Sus scrofa: one gene and its partners. The main gene of each other region encodes a partner of the protein of the gene in region 3 in a complex. Links are inferred from orthologs where the notes say so. Each region holds a gene or a part of one and is shown on either strand. Other genes may lie near its edges.

Evidence for each region.
Region 1: the proteins of CLOCK (region 3) and ARNTL are in contact, whole or in part, in a crystal structure (PDB 4F3L), measured with the Mus musculus proteins. The link is inferred for Sus scrofa from reciprocal best matches to the Homo sapiens genes CLOCK and BMAL1. Residues at the interface, in NP_001276755.1 of Mus musculus: Arg46, Gln49, Phe50, Leu53, Ile54, Glu56, Leu57, Met60, Leu61, Pro62, Lys70, Ser71, Leu74, Gln75, Ser77, Ile78, Phe80, Leu81, Arg82, His84, Lys85, Thr88, Glu95, Ile96, Gln98, Asp99, Trp100, Pro102, Phe104, Leu105; in XP_030097882.1 of Mus musculus: Lys70, Met71, Phe74, Ile75, Glu77, Leu78, Ser80, Leu81, Val82, Asp93, Leu95, Leu98, Arg99, Ala101, Val102, His104, Met105, Lys106, Leu108, Arg109, Gly110, Ala118, Tyr120, Lys121, Pro122, Phe124, Leu125, Asp127, Asp128, Glu129.
Region 2: the proteins of CLOCK (region 3) and CIPC are in contact, whole or in part, in a crystal structure (PDB 5VJI), measured with the Mus musculus proteins. The link is inferred for Sus scrofa from reciprocal best matches to the Homo sapiens genes CLOCK and CIPC. Residues at the interface, in NP_001276755.1 of Mus musculus: Gln519, Leu526, Lys527, Leu530, Arg533, Ile537, Asn540, Ile541, Arg543, Gln544, Glu547, Leu548, Ile551, Gln554, Leu555, Val558; in XP_006515773.1 of Mus musculus: Asn401, Thr402, Val405, Leu406, Ser409, Leu411, Ile414, Thr415, Thr418, Leu421, Ile422, Asn425, Thr428, Gln429, Leu432, Leu435, Lys436, Thr439, Gln440, Phe442, Ile443, Thr446.

What each region holds. Positions count from the first base shown.
Region 1 is NC_010444.4:45,934,525-45,938,175, reverse strand, and holds part of ARNTL (aryl hydrocarbon receptor nuclear translocator-like protein 1), read left to right. Parts: intron 1-36; coding exon 37-78; intron 79-1,664; coding exon 1,665-1,822; intron 1,823-3,594; coding exon 3,595-3,651. UniProt on the Homo sapiens protein: Transcriptional activator which forms a core component of the circadian clock.
Region 2 is NC_010449.5:100,190,341-100,193,991, forward strand, and holds part of CIPC (CLOCK-interacting pacemaker), read left to right. Parts: intron 1-411; coding exon 412-581; intron 582-3,651.
Region 3 is NC_010450.4:54,805,619-54,809,269, forward strand, and holds part of CLOCK (circadian locomoter output cycles protein kaput), read right to left. Parts: intron 3,612-3,651; coding exon 3,522-3,611; intron 749-3,521; coding exon 596-748; intron 1-595. UniProt on the Homo sapiens protein: Transcriptional activator which forms a core component of the circadian clock.

The DNA.
Region 1 (3,651 bases), on a different chromosome or scaffold from region 3:
AGGGGATTGTGTGTTTACCCTTTTATTTTCTTCCAGGTTAGAGTACACAGAGCACCAAGGAAGGATCAAAAATGCCAGGTAAGCTTGGACCCTCCCTCTGTCTATGAACTGTCTTGCTTTGGAATTTTTTGGCGGAGTGAGGGGGGGCAGCATATGGAGGTTCCCAGGCTAGGGGTCTAATCTGAGCTGTAGCCGCTGGCCGCAGCCACAGCCACACCAGATCCGAGCCATGTCTGTGATCTGCACCACAGCTCACGGCAATGCCGGATCCTTAACCCACTGAGCAAGGCCAGGGATTGAACACGCAACCTCATGGTTACTGGTCAGGTTCATTAACCACTGCGCCATGATGGGAACGCCTGCTTTGGTTTCTTAGAGTGCAGTCTAAGAGGCTATGTCTGTCTGGTTCCTGTCTACCTAACATCGTTCGACACAATTGTCATGTCCTTAGGGAATGAAGAACGGGATGGGGGCCTGGGCTTGATATGACCTTCTGCCCTTCGCATCACTCTTTGCTGTCTAAGCACATTTAACCCGAAAGGGACTTTGGAGGTAGTGGAAGATAAATAAGGGCTAAAAATTTTCCCCATCCTTAGTATGTTCCTCCTTCCTAACTCTTGGGGGAGACCCAGCTCAGGGAGTCAGTTACCGGGCTCTGCCTTGCCTCTGAAAGGGCTCTGATGGCTCTGCCAGGCGCTGCTGAAGGTCAGACCCTGGGGTGGGGTGGGGGCTGCTCCCTCAAGTAGATTCTCTTACTTGGTCCTTCCTGCCTCCATCCACACTTGCTGACTCCTTTCCATGTGGGTCCTCAGCCTTCCTGCCATTAGCCCCAGGGCCATCTGAGCGTGTATCCTGACAAAGAACCAGGGGCTGCAGAATTCGACGGTCCTGACATTTGTGGCTTTTCCCTCACGGACCAGCTTTGGCAAGAGATCCCGTGGTCCTCTTGCTATGGCAGAGGCAACAAACTGTGTTTGCACTGTTGACACTCCTCTTTAGGGGGACAGTCACAAGTAGCAGGTGCAGACCAGTCGGGGAGAGAGTATGGGCCAGTGGCATTGTCATCCTGCTTCAGTGGGCAGCAGCTCCTGGGAGGGAGGCATGTGACATTCTTCAGCGGCAGCTCCTGGGGACAGAGGTAGCATCTGCTGCATCTAGGTGGGGTCATGGCTGATCCAAGACGACAGCATTAGTTACGTGACTCCTCAGTAAGTCTCCGACAGGCCACACAGCTGACTCCCCACAAACCCCAGGGACCGCTCCGCATGAGGCCCTCACGGATGTCTGTTCTGGATGCTTTGCTCCTTGAAACCTCCACCTTCCTTCAACCCCATCTTAAAATCCAACTTTATAGAGGCCGAGAGGAAAAGAAATGAGGAATGAGCAATTTGGTTTTCTCTGAAAAGACCTTTTTTGTAATATTTCTCAGTTCTAAGGATGAGGTCAGCATTAAAAAAACACAGAAACCCCAAAAAACTAACAGTGACCTGACAGTGGGGCCACGCTTTTTGGTAACTTTAGTAGAAAAGTCTAGTTTGAAGCACTCTGCAATTCTAATTTCGCCTTATCAGATGAATATTGAAAACAGTTGTAACTTATTTCATCATCATTTCCTTGATGCTCTGTTACATTTTACAGAAATCATTTTTCATATTGTTGTTCAGGGAAGCTCACAGTCAGATTGAAAAGAGGCGTCGGGATAAGATGAACAGTTTCATCGACGAACTGGCTTCTTTGGTACCAACGTGCAACGCGATGTCCAGGAAATTAGATAAACTTACTGTGCTAAGGATGGCCGTTCAGCACATGAAAACGTTACGAGGTGAGATTCCGAGCTTTCTTGTCCTTTCTGCTTCTGCTCACAGATGTTACCCTCCCTACCTAGAATTTTTCCGAGTCTCTAAGGCAAGTGTTTCTAGCCTGGAGTGATATGCCTGTCATTTTCAGTGAGAGGCGTGATGCCAGATGAGGCGATTATTGAGCTTGCGTGAATATCAAGATACAGCTTTGCCCTCCTGCATCCCCAGAGGGTGGGACTGTGTCCTGTGTGCCTGTCTGTGCACATAACTGGGCAACATACATAACCCAGGGGATGCTCTAAAGTCCTACCTTGCATGTATGTGGTGCCTGGACCCCAGCCCCTCACAGTGATAAACATCAGAAATGTAGGTGCATGTAGTGACAGAGAAAAGTCAGTTTCAGTTTTTAAAGGAAAAATTCATCTTGGTTTCTTTTGAAGAGTGAGTCACTGGTTGATGGCTCTTGCTGCATTTTATTGTCAGGAATGAACACGGGTGATATTTTCGTCTTCCTGGAATTTTCCCAAACCAGATCAAGTCTTTATGAGGGAGGCAGTGTTTTCCTTCTTTTCTGAGTGCGGGGAGGGTAAAAAAAAAAAAAAAAAAAAAAAACAGAGACAGAAATGTGGAAGTGGCTTACCCAAACCACAGGAGAAATCTGAACCGTATCAGGCATTTTATGTGAATGCTGTTCCTGGAATTTTCCACAGCTAGTCTTGGACTGTTTGAGGAAATTGGAAAGTGGGCGCTCAACTCAGATCTCAGACCTGCGTGGTACGAGAATTACATCTTTATACTTCTGCAGAGCCACCAGAAATGAGAAGTAGCTGGTTTTATCTGACTTTTGGTCATCATTCTGAACTATAAATGTTATATCCTGTGCTTGGAGAAGGGCATTTTAAAATTCATATTCATGAAGATGATAGAGATGAAATCACTGTAACTAATGTCTATTACATTAAAAGGAAAAGAGGGGCAGATCTCAAGTTATCCTAAAAAGCAGGGCTGGGGATCAGTACTATGCGCCTTGTTAGTTGATAGGAAAGTCACAGCCACAGTCTGTTTCCCTCCTTCCCAGTGGTACTTGGAATTGTTATGGATCATTTCATTTCTTCATGGTTCCACTAACTCTTTACAGATGCCAAGTCACTGAACGCTGGCATCTTTCTTTTCTAAGTTACCATTCTCCTAAAGGACGCCAGATTGACAGCCTTTTAAACATAAGTCTTGCGCCCTTTCAGTCTTGGGAGCTCAAGTTGCATTTACTGAAGGAATGCTTTTCTCCGGGTTGCCAAGCTCATTTAACACAACCCCGATGAAGAGGAACTCACAGTAAATGCTTCTACAGCGTATTTACTCAGGGCCTGGCAGACTGGATGATTTCCCAAGAACATTTAGAGTGGTGATTTGAGCACCCGCTAGACAACCCATTTAATATAGATCTGGGGAGGAGGGAACCACACGGGAGCCTCTACCAGTTTGCTCCTAGAGCTGCCTTCTCTCTTCAGAGCAGGCTTTTAACTTCTGTCAGCTCCTGATTTTCGACATAGCAACAAAAGCAAGCTTCTTAAGTCTCCTGTGGGGGAATGATATTTGCTTTTCAGTGGAATTCTCTTTGGCATTAGAGGATGGTGTCCAAAGCCAGATCTAGCCCTGTCTCCGTTAAGGAAAAAGAAGATCACATTCAGATCCCAGGTGGTAAGGACCAGGCTGCATCTGGAGGGCCTGAGGCAGTGGAATGAGACATTATCTGCCTGTACAGCGTGCCGACTCTTTCTCTTTTTTCCCTTGTAAGGTGCCACCAATCCATACACAGAAGCAAACTACAAACCGACCTTTCTGTCAGATGATG
Region 2 (3,651 bases), on a different chromosome or scaffold from region 3:
TTTGTTTTTATTGTCATATCATGTGGTGCTCCCAGCCTCTAAAGGTCTTACTCCTGCCCCAGGTCACACACACACACTCCTCTCCCCTTTCAGCAACACATTCTTGAAGGTGCTGTGCTAGTTTTGAAGCCTTCACCCATCCTTGCTGCAGACGGGATGGTAACTTTCACAGGAACCCGGGTCTGGAGGGGAGTTAGAAAGGAAGTCTACTGTCCTAAGGTGGTGGTTCGGAACCTTTCGGGGGTGGGAGGATAATTATGGATCCATTGAGAATCCAATGAAAGCTAAAGACCTTCTCAGAAAAATTCACGACAACATATATCGCAAGTGTTCTGGTCCATTGAAAGGGGGTCCATGACTCCCCAGGACTGGTTAAGAGCCCAAGTGACCTGACTCTTCTTCTGCCACCAGATGGGAGCTCAGAATGCCTGAGCTCGGCAGAGCAGATGGAGTCCGAGGACGTGCTGGGCGCCTTAGGCTGGAGCCCAGAGGACCGGCCGAGGCCGAGCTCCAAGCCTGTGAGCGCTGCCTTCCCGACGCTGTCCCCCATGGTTGTCATGAAGAACGTGCTGGTCAAACAGGTGAGGAGGGCTCATCTCTCCTGACTTCTTCAGACTAGAGTCTCTGAGCTGCCTGTGTCCAGAGCCTCTCCCTCTGCCAGGGAGAGAGGTGAGAAGCAGGGCACCAGGACCGCACCCACTGCGTTTCTGTCCTGGGAGGAGGACGTGCCCTTGGATTATGAGAGTCGTGACACGTGTTCTCATTTTCCAGACCGAAAGACTATTGTATTTCCACATCCCCAGTGTGTCCAAAGTGATCTGGAATTCTTTAGTCATATTTAAAGGAACCAGGCAGAAATGTCTAACCTCTGTTGTGCATTCTAATATGTGGCAGAATTTAGGGCAGGAACAAGAGGATCTCCTTTTAATTTGAATTGCCCTGGGAATTTAGAAATATTTGGGAAATAGAAGCAATTTCTACTCTATAGAAGCAGTAGAACAATTTCTCATGTTGCATTCTGAGCATTTTCTAGTAATCAGCCAAAGCTATGTCATTAGTGAGAAAGCGGCTCTTTGGTTTAGGTATGGCTCTACCAGCAGAGCCCACGTGGCATTGCTGTGGAGTTGGAACATACCCTGTTTCAGGCTTGATTACATCACTATGCAAATTGGAGTTGCCATGTGGCACAGCAGCTTAAGGATTCAGCATTGTCACCACAGTGGCTCAGGTCACTGCTGTGGCACAGGTTTGATCCCTGGCCCAAGAACTTCCACATGCCTTGAGTGCTGCAAAAAAGAGAGAGAAGAAGAAAAAGCACCATAACTATGCAAATTATGTGATTATTGCCTAGATATGAAAGAAAAGATTTAGGTGAAGATCTAAGCTAAGCCCCAGTGTTTGAAACAGAGATCTCAATCATATATATGAACTTGGTTAAAGAGCATGTAACCTTAACCCCCCTTTGCTCGAGGCTGCTCGAAGCTAGTAAGTTTGAAATCTGGCTTTATGTGGTTGACCTGCCTGCCTCAGAAGAACATGGCTGCAGCCTGACAAGAAACCTTAACGTCTTAACTATTACTTAGTTTTTTGCTGAGGAACACAAACTGATTTTTGACAAGGCAGCCTGGTGAGTTTGGAAGAAGAATTTAAAGGTATTTGCTTGGCAAATCACCTCTCAGCTGGAAGCACAGCTCCCCTCACTGCGCTGAGGCTAGAGAATAAAAACATGAAATGGAACCCAAATGAGATTGTCCAGGCCCCACCAGGGCCGTGGTGCTTCTCAGGGCTTCCGTCTCCTGCTCTTTCCTCCCTGCCTTCCTCTCTGGCCCCTGGCCACTTTTTCTTGGGCGTCTTTGTTTGTCATGGGCAAGGCTGGCAGCTGCAGAGGCCTGGGAACAGCCCACATGCAGAGGGTGTAGGCGGCCCCAGTGAAGGCGTCATCTTTAGGAGAGAGAGCCACTGGGGAGGCCACTGGGCTTGATCAGGGGACAGGACACATGGGAGCAGACTGACCTAAGGGAGCCATCTAGGAGCTTAGTTATTTTTCACATGGGCTAGACTCCAGCACATTCCAAATTTAAAAGAATTAAATACTTTTGTGTCATGTCTTAATTATTGCTGCCTTGGTTTTAGGTATTTTTCTTTTGAGGGTGTAATTCCAGTTCTACCACCACACTATGTGATCTTACACACAATTACTTAATCACTGTGGACTTCAGTTTCCTCATCTTTAGCATGAGATCTTAGGTGAAATGATTCTGAGATCCTATTCAAGTCTAAAGTCTTGTCTGGTATTCCCTCAGGTGATCTCAACAAGAATGATACACTGTAAAAGCTAAAAATGAGAATAAATAAGCTGAGTGTCTTGAGTAGGCATAGCCGCAGCCTTAGAGGAGCAATCCAGTGAAATCATTTTGGAAAAGCAATGAATTAGGTCTTTTCTGGATCCATTTGCCTGGTAGGTCACCTCTTAAGGCACGAGTGACTAGGGACAGTCTGAAGTTTAGCTTCTGACTGAGCTGAACCAGGCTGACGTTCCTGGACTGACCTCTGACTCTCTGTGTCCTCTGACGGGGGAGTGCGGTTGCCGGGCCTGGCACTGCTTGCCTGTGTACATCGCAGGGTGTGTTTGAACACCAAGAGGGCTCCAGGATGCACTCTTCAGGTCATCCCAGCCTTTGCACAGGAGATGAACTATAGTAGATCTTGGCTTAAAGATCCTAGCCAGGTATCCAAGAAGCTGAAATGTATGCAAATGAGTGTGCCTGTGAGGGAGCATCGTCCTTCGCTTTCCTCAGACAAATCACGTGACTTCTCCAAAGGTAAGAACCTCTGTCAGGCTCTCTCTGCCCAGCCTCATCTGCACTCAGGTCTTTGGGCCCAGGTTGGAATTGGATTGGCTTTGAAATTTTCGAGACAGATAGCCATGCCCTTCTTTATTAGATTTCTGTGTGAATCGTTAATTAAACATTAAAATTATAATGGAGGAGTACAACAAAAGCGGTGTAGTGGAATAGTCAGGCTGGGTTTTAGCGTCAGAGGATGGAATCCTAGCTTCCTTACATAAAGTAGCTTGGGGACTGAAAGCAAGTTAGTTCAACCTTCTAAACCTCAGTTTCCTGTTTGTGGAGGGAAATGACAACCACCTCATGGGGTCATTATGGAGATTAAATGAGACAACCCATGTGAAGTGCCACACAGCGTCGGCCTGTAGTCAGCACCCATACATGGCGGCATTTCGTGCCTTGGAGAGCGTTGTGGTTGTTGGGCGTCATTGCTTTAAAAACAGGTTCCAGATGTAACTAAATGAAGATAGACTTTGATGTAAAGTCACATTTATAGTGTCGAGATCAGCACATGTGAACCTTTTTAAAAATTTTTTTTTATTTTTTTGTCTTTTTAGAGCCGCACCCATGGCATATGGAGGTTCCCAGGCTAGGGGTCGAATTGGAGCTATAGCCGCTGGCCTACACCACAGCTAAAGCAATGCCAGATCTGAGCTGCATCTGCAACCTACACCACAGCTCACGGCAATGCCAGATCCTTAACCCACTGAGTGAGGCCAGGGATCGAACCTGCGTCCTCATGGATGCTAGTCAGATTTGTTTCCCCTGAGCCTCAATGGGAACTCCTAGCACATTTGAACTTATG
Region 3 (3,651 bases):
AACCTTCACTTGATTGACATTTTACATGTTGGAGATTATTGTATCAGAGACCCTAACTCAGAGCTACTCAAAGGTCTGCAGACAGGGGTGGGGGACTCGGCATCATTCATCACTAAAAAAGCATGGCATTAAACAGGAGTAGTTTTCACTTCAAGTTTCCTTTTACCAAATTCCTAGTCTCTTCAGATAAGCATAACTTTAGAGTGGCCCTGCTGCTGGACCAAAGAGACTAATTTGAATCATTCCTACTGGCATGTTATTGTAAAAAGACTGAAGACTATTTTGTAAATTCGGTAGCTACATGTACCTAAAAGTCTATGTAACATATTATTTTGCTATTATGGATTTAAACTTACTAAAAATGCAACTGAGATGACTTTAACATGGAGAAACAAGGATGTGGATGGAGACACTCTCAGAATGAATTATCTTTCGAGACTGTAAATGCAAAATCATACTGAGTATAACCAATAAGTATTTATGGAACTAAACTGATGAAATGTATCTTTGGCACCACGTGTTTCATTAAACAAGACTGTTTCCTATGAATCTAAAATGTGACAGCATGCTTTGCTTGTATTCAAATATAACCAACCTGCAGCCCTTGACCATGGACCATTTGAAGTTGTTCCTGAATTTTTCTTAATTCTTCTTGTTGCCGATGAATATTTGCCTCTATCATCCGTGTCCGTTGCTCCAACTGGTCTTTCAGATGCTGCATGGCTCCTAACTGAGCTGAGAACTGAAACTGAAGTATTGTGAATGGAAAGTGTAAAATCTCTGAGAAGCACTTCTCCCAGTTGTACACGGTGAAGCTAAGCAGTGTATCGTGAGATAAGAATGTTTTGCCACTTATTCATGTACTGCCTCTCAGCTCCTAAGTCACCTCTTGGCTCGGCTTTGGGACACTGGATTGGACCCTGTAAGTACAAGCAGTCCCATCAGCAGAAGATGCTGAGGGATGCCGCAAATGAGGTGCTCGTCTTTCTGGTCCTGCTGCTCTCCTTCCAGCTCTTACACCACGGGGCGCGCCCTACAGAGAATCAGCTGCGCTCCAGCCTCACTAGCATCGTAGTGGGTGGCTTCTCGGCAGGTGGTCCCACTCTCCAGCCCTGGTCCATGCACCTCAGTCAGAGTGTCTATCATCCAGTGGCTCCAGCCACAGCGGCCCCAGTAGGGCCTGATCCTCAGCCTGGCCTGGCCTGACCTGGAGGAGCAGCAGTTTAGGGGGGGCCTCCCAAGCTGCTCCTCCTTGGCTGCTCTCTACACCCAGCATCCCTACGGTCTTCAAAACTCAGAATAAAAATCTGACAGATAACCAAGCATAATATTTTTATCCTTCTTTTCACCTGAAACTGTTCTCAGACAAGTATGAAACCTAGGCTTTTTAAGACTAAGCAATTATAAATGAATGAATGCATCTGTGAATGAAAAGCACAGTTATTCTATTTCCAGAGTAAGAAAAGGTTTTCAATCTTACTAATTTGTTTCACCTGCATTCTAGGTAGCTCATTTACTACTGCTTGAAATCTAGCTACACTTGGTGACTCACCATTTCTTAAGTCTCTCTCTCTCTCTCTATATATATATATATACACACGTATGTGTAAGTTCATTTACTTATTTCCAGGAATATTCAGTACAGGATACAGTGTAAGAGCAGAAAGAATTTCACTTTATTAGAAATCTGTCTAAATCTTGAAACTGTCTCCTACAATGCATCCAAAAGTGACAAATGCCCCTCAAAAGCTTTTTTATTACTTATCTTCAAAAGTTTGCACTGAGAATAGTGAATATTACTTTTCAAAGAATATAACTCAGGGAGTTCCCCTTGTGGCGCAGCGGAAACAAATCCGACTAGCATCCATGAGAATGCAGGTTCGATCCGTGGCCTCACTCAGTGGGTTAAGGATCTGGTGTTGCTATAGCTGTGGTGTAGGCCGGCAGCTGCAGCTCCAATTCAACCCCGGCCTAGGAACTTCCATATGTCATGGGTGCAGCCCTAAAAAGAAAACACAAAAACAAAGAATACAACTCTGACTTATGAAGATGACAGTAATCAGATCATATGTTAGAGTATACTGGGTGTGAGAAAATATTACAAATTATATTTATGCTATACTAATATAGTTTATCCTAACTAAAGTTATTTATATCTTTAGGTAAACATTCCACTGTCACCATTGAAAGGATTTCTACTAAGTGCAAATAAGAAAATAAAAATAAACACAGAATACAGAATGTTAAGAAAATCATAGAGCTAAGAAGCAAAGTGCTTGGCTTGTCATTGAAAGAAATATGAAACTTGAAACTTAACATTTTGACACAACAGATACTGTTTATTTCATGAATATATATGTTAAGAAATTCTTATTCAATATCTGTTTAGAAATTCTTATTCAGTATCTTGAGATTAATGAACTAATAATACTGAAAATATATCAAATATTTACATTAAAATCTGTTACATTTCAGAATAGAAAGCATTTGAGGACTCAATAAATAGCTGATAAAAACTACTGCAACTCCAATAACACTGTCTTCTTATAAATACCTCATACAATCATATGTTGTTAGAAGTTGAGATTATGACATTTAGGTAATTTATAACATTGTCGATATACTTGTATAAGTGTCATAATATATACTAGCTATAATTATACATGTATAATTTAAATAATCATATAAGAAAAAGGTATTTTTAGAAAAATATTGTTTTTACCTATTGTTAACTATCACTATTTGAAACGAAGATACTGTTAAAGTTAATTTAAGATTATTTTTAGTACAACTTATTAGTATTTTTAACATGTCTAAGGTTCTGAATGAGTGAAGAATCATAAATTAAAAGTCACAACGTTATAATCAAACATGTGGCTTCTGTAATACCTCCCCTCTGTCATGCTAGTTTTTGTATTGAGGCCTCCTGTGGGACTCAGTTCCAGCAACAATTCCTCCAGAAAGTCCTCTTTCACTTCTTTAGGCCACATGAAGTATCCATCTAACATGCTCTTATCTCAGTCTTTTATCTTGAACTGACTGTGTAACACTGTATTCTAGTTGTCATTTTACCTCTAGATAATAATAAAGTCTCTTAGTAGAGATAAATTTGTACCGCCAGCACCTGTGATATCTGCTAATACAAGGAACTCAATAAATGTCCTGGATATGAACAAATGAAAAAGTACATAAATAAAATTACTCACTTCTTCCAACACCCACAGGAAGAACCAAATGAACAGCTGTATTTCACCTTTAACAGCTTACCGTCTACAGTGTTTCTCAGCAGGGATTAAGCAAGACAATTCTGTGTTGTGCACAGCTGTCATGCACCCTCAAAGACAGCATTCCTGGCCCTTGCCTACGAAAGGGCCAGTGATACCCTAACCTCACTCAGAAATATCCCCAGGTAGTCTAAATGCCCACAGGTGAGATTTACTGCATCTGTATTTTTAAAAATCTCTAGTAGCTTAAAAACAATTTGAAATTTTAAAATACTTAACTGAAACAAACAAAAATACCTGAGAGATGCCTTGTGGAACTGATACATTTGCAGCTTGAGACATCACTGGCTGTGTTAATGATTGACCAACAGACTGGGAATTTAGGGACTAGAAGCAAAATAAAAAATGATTGGGGTGACAATCACTC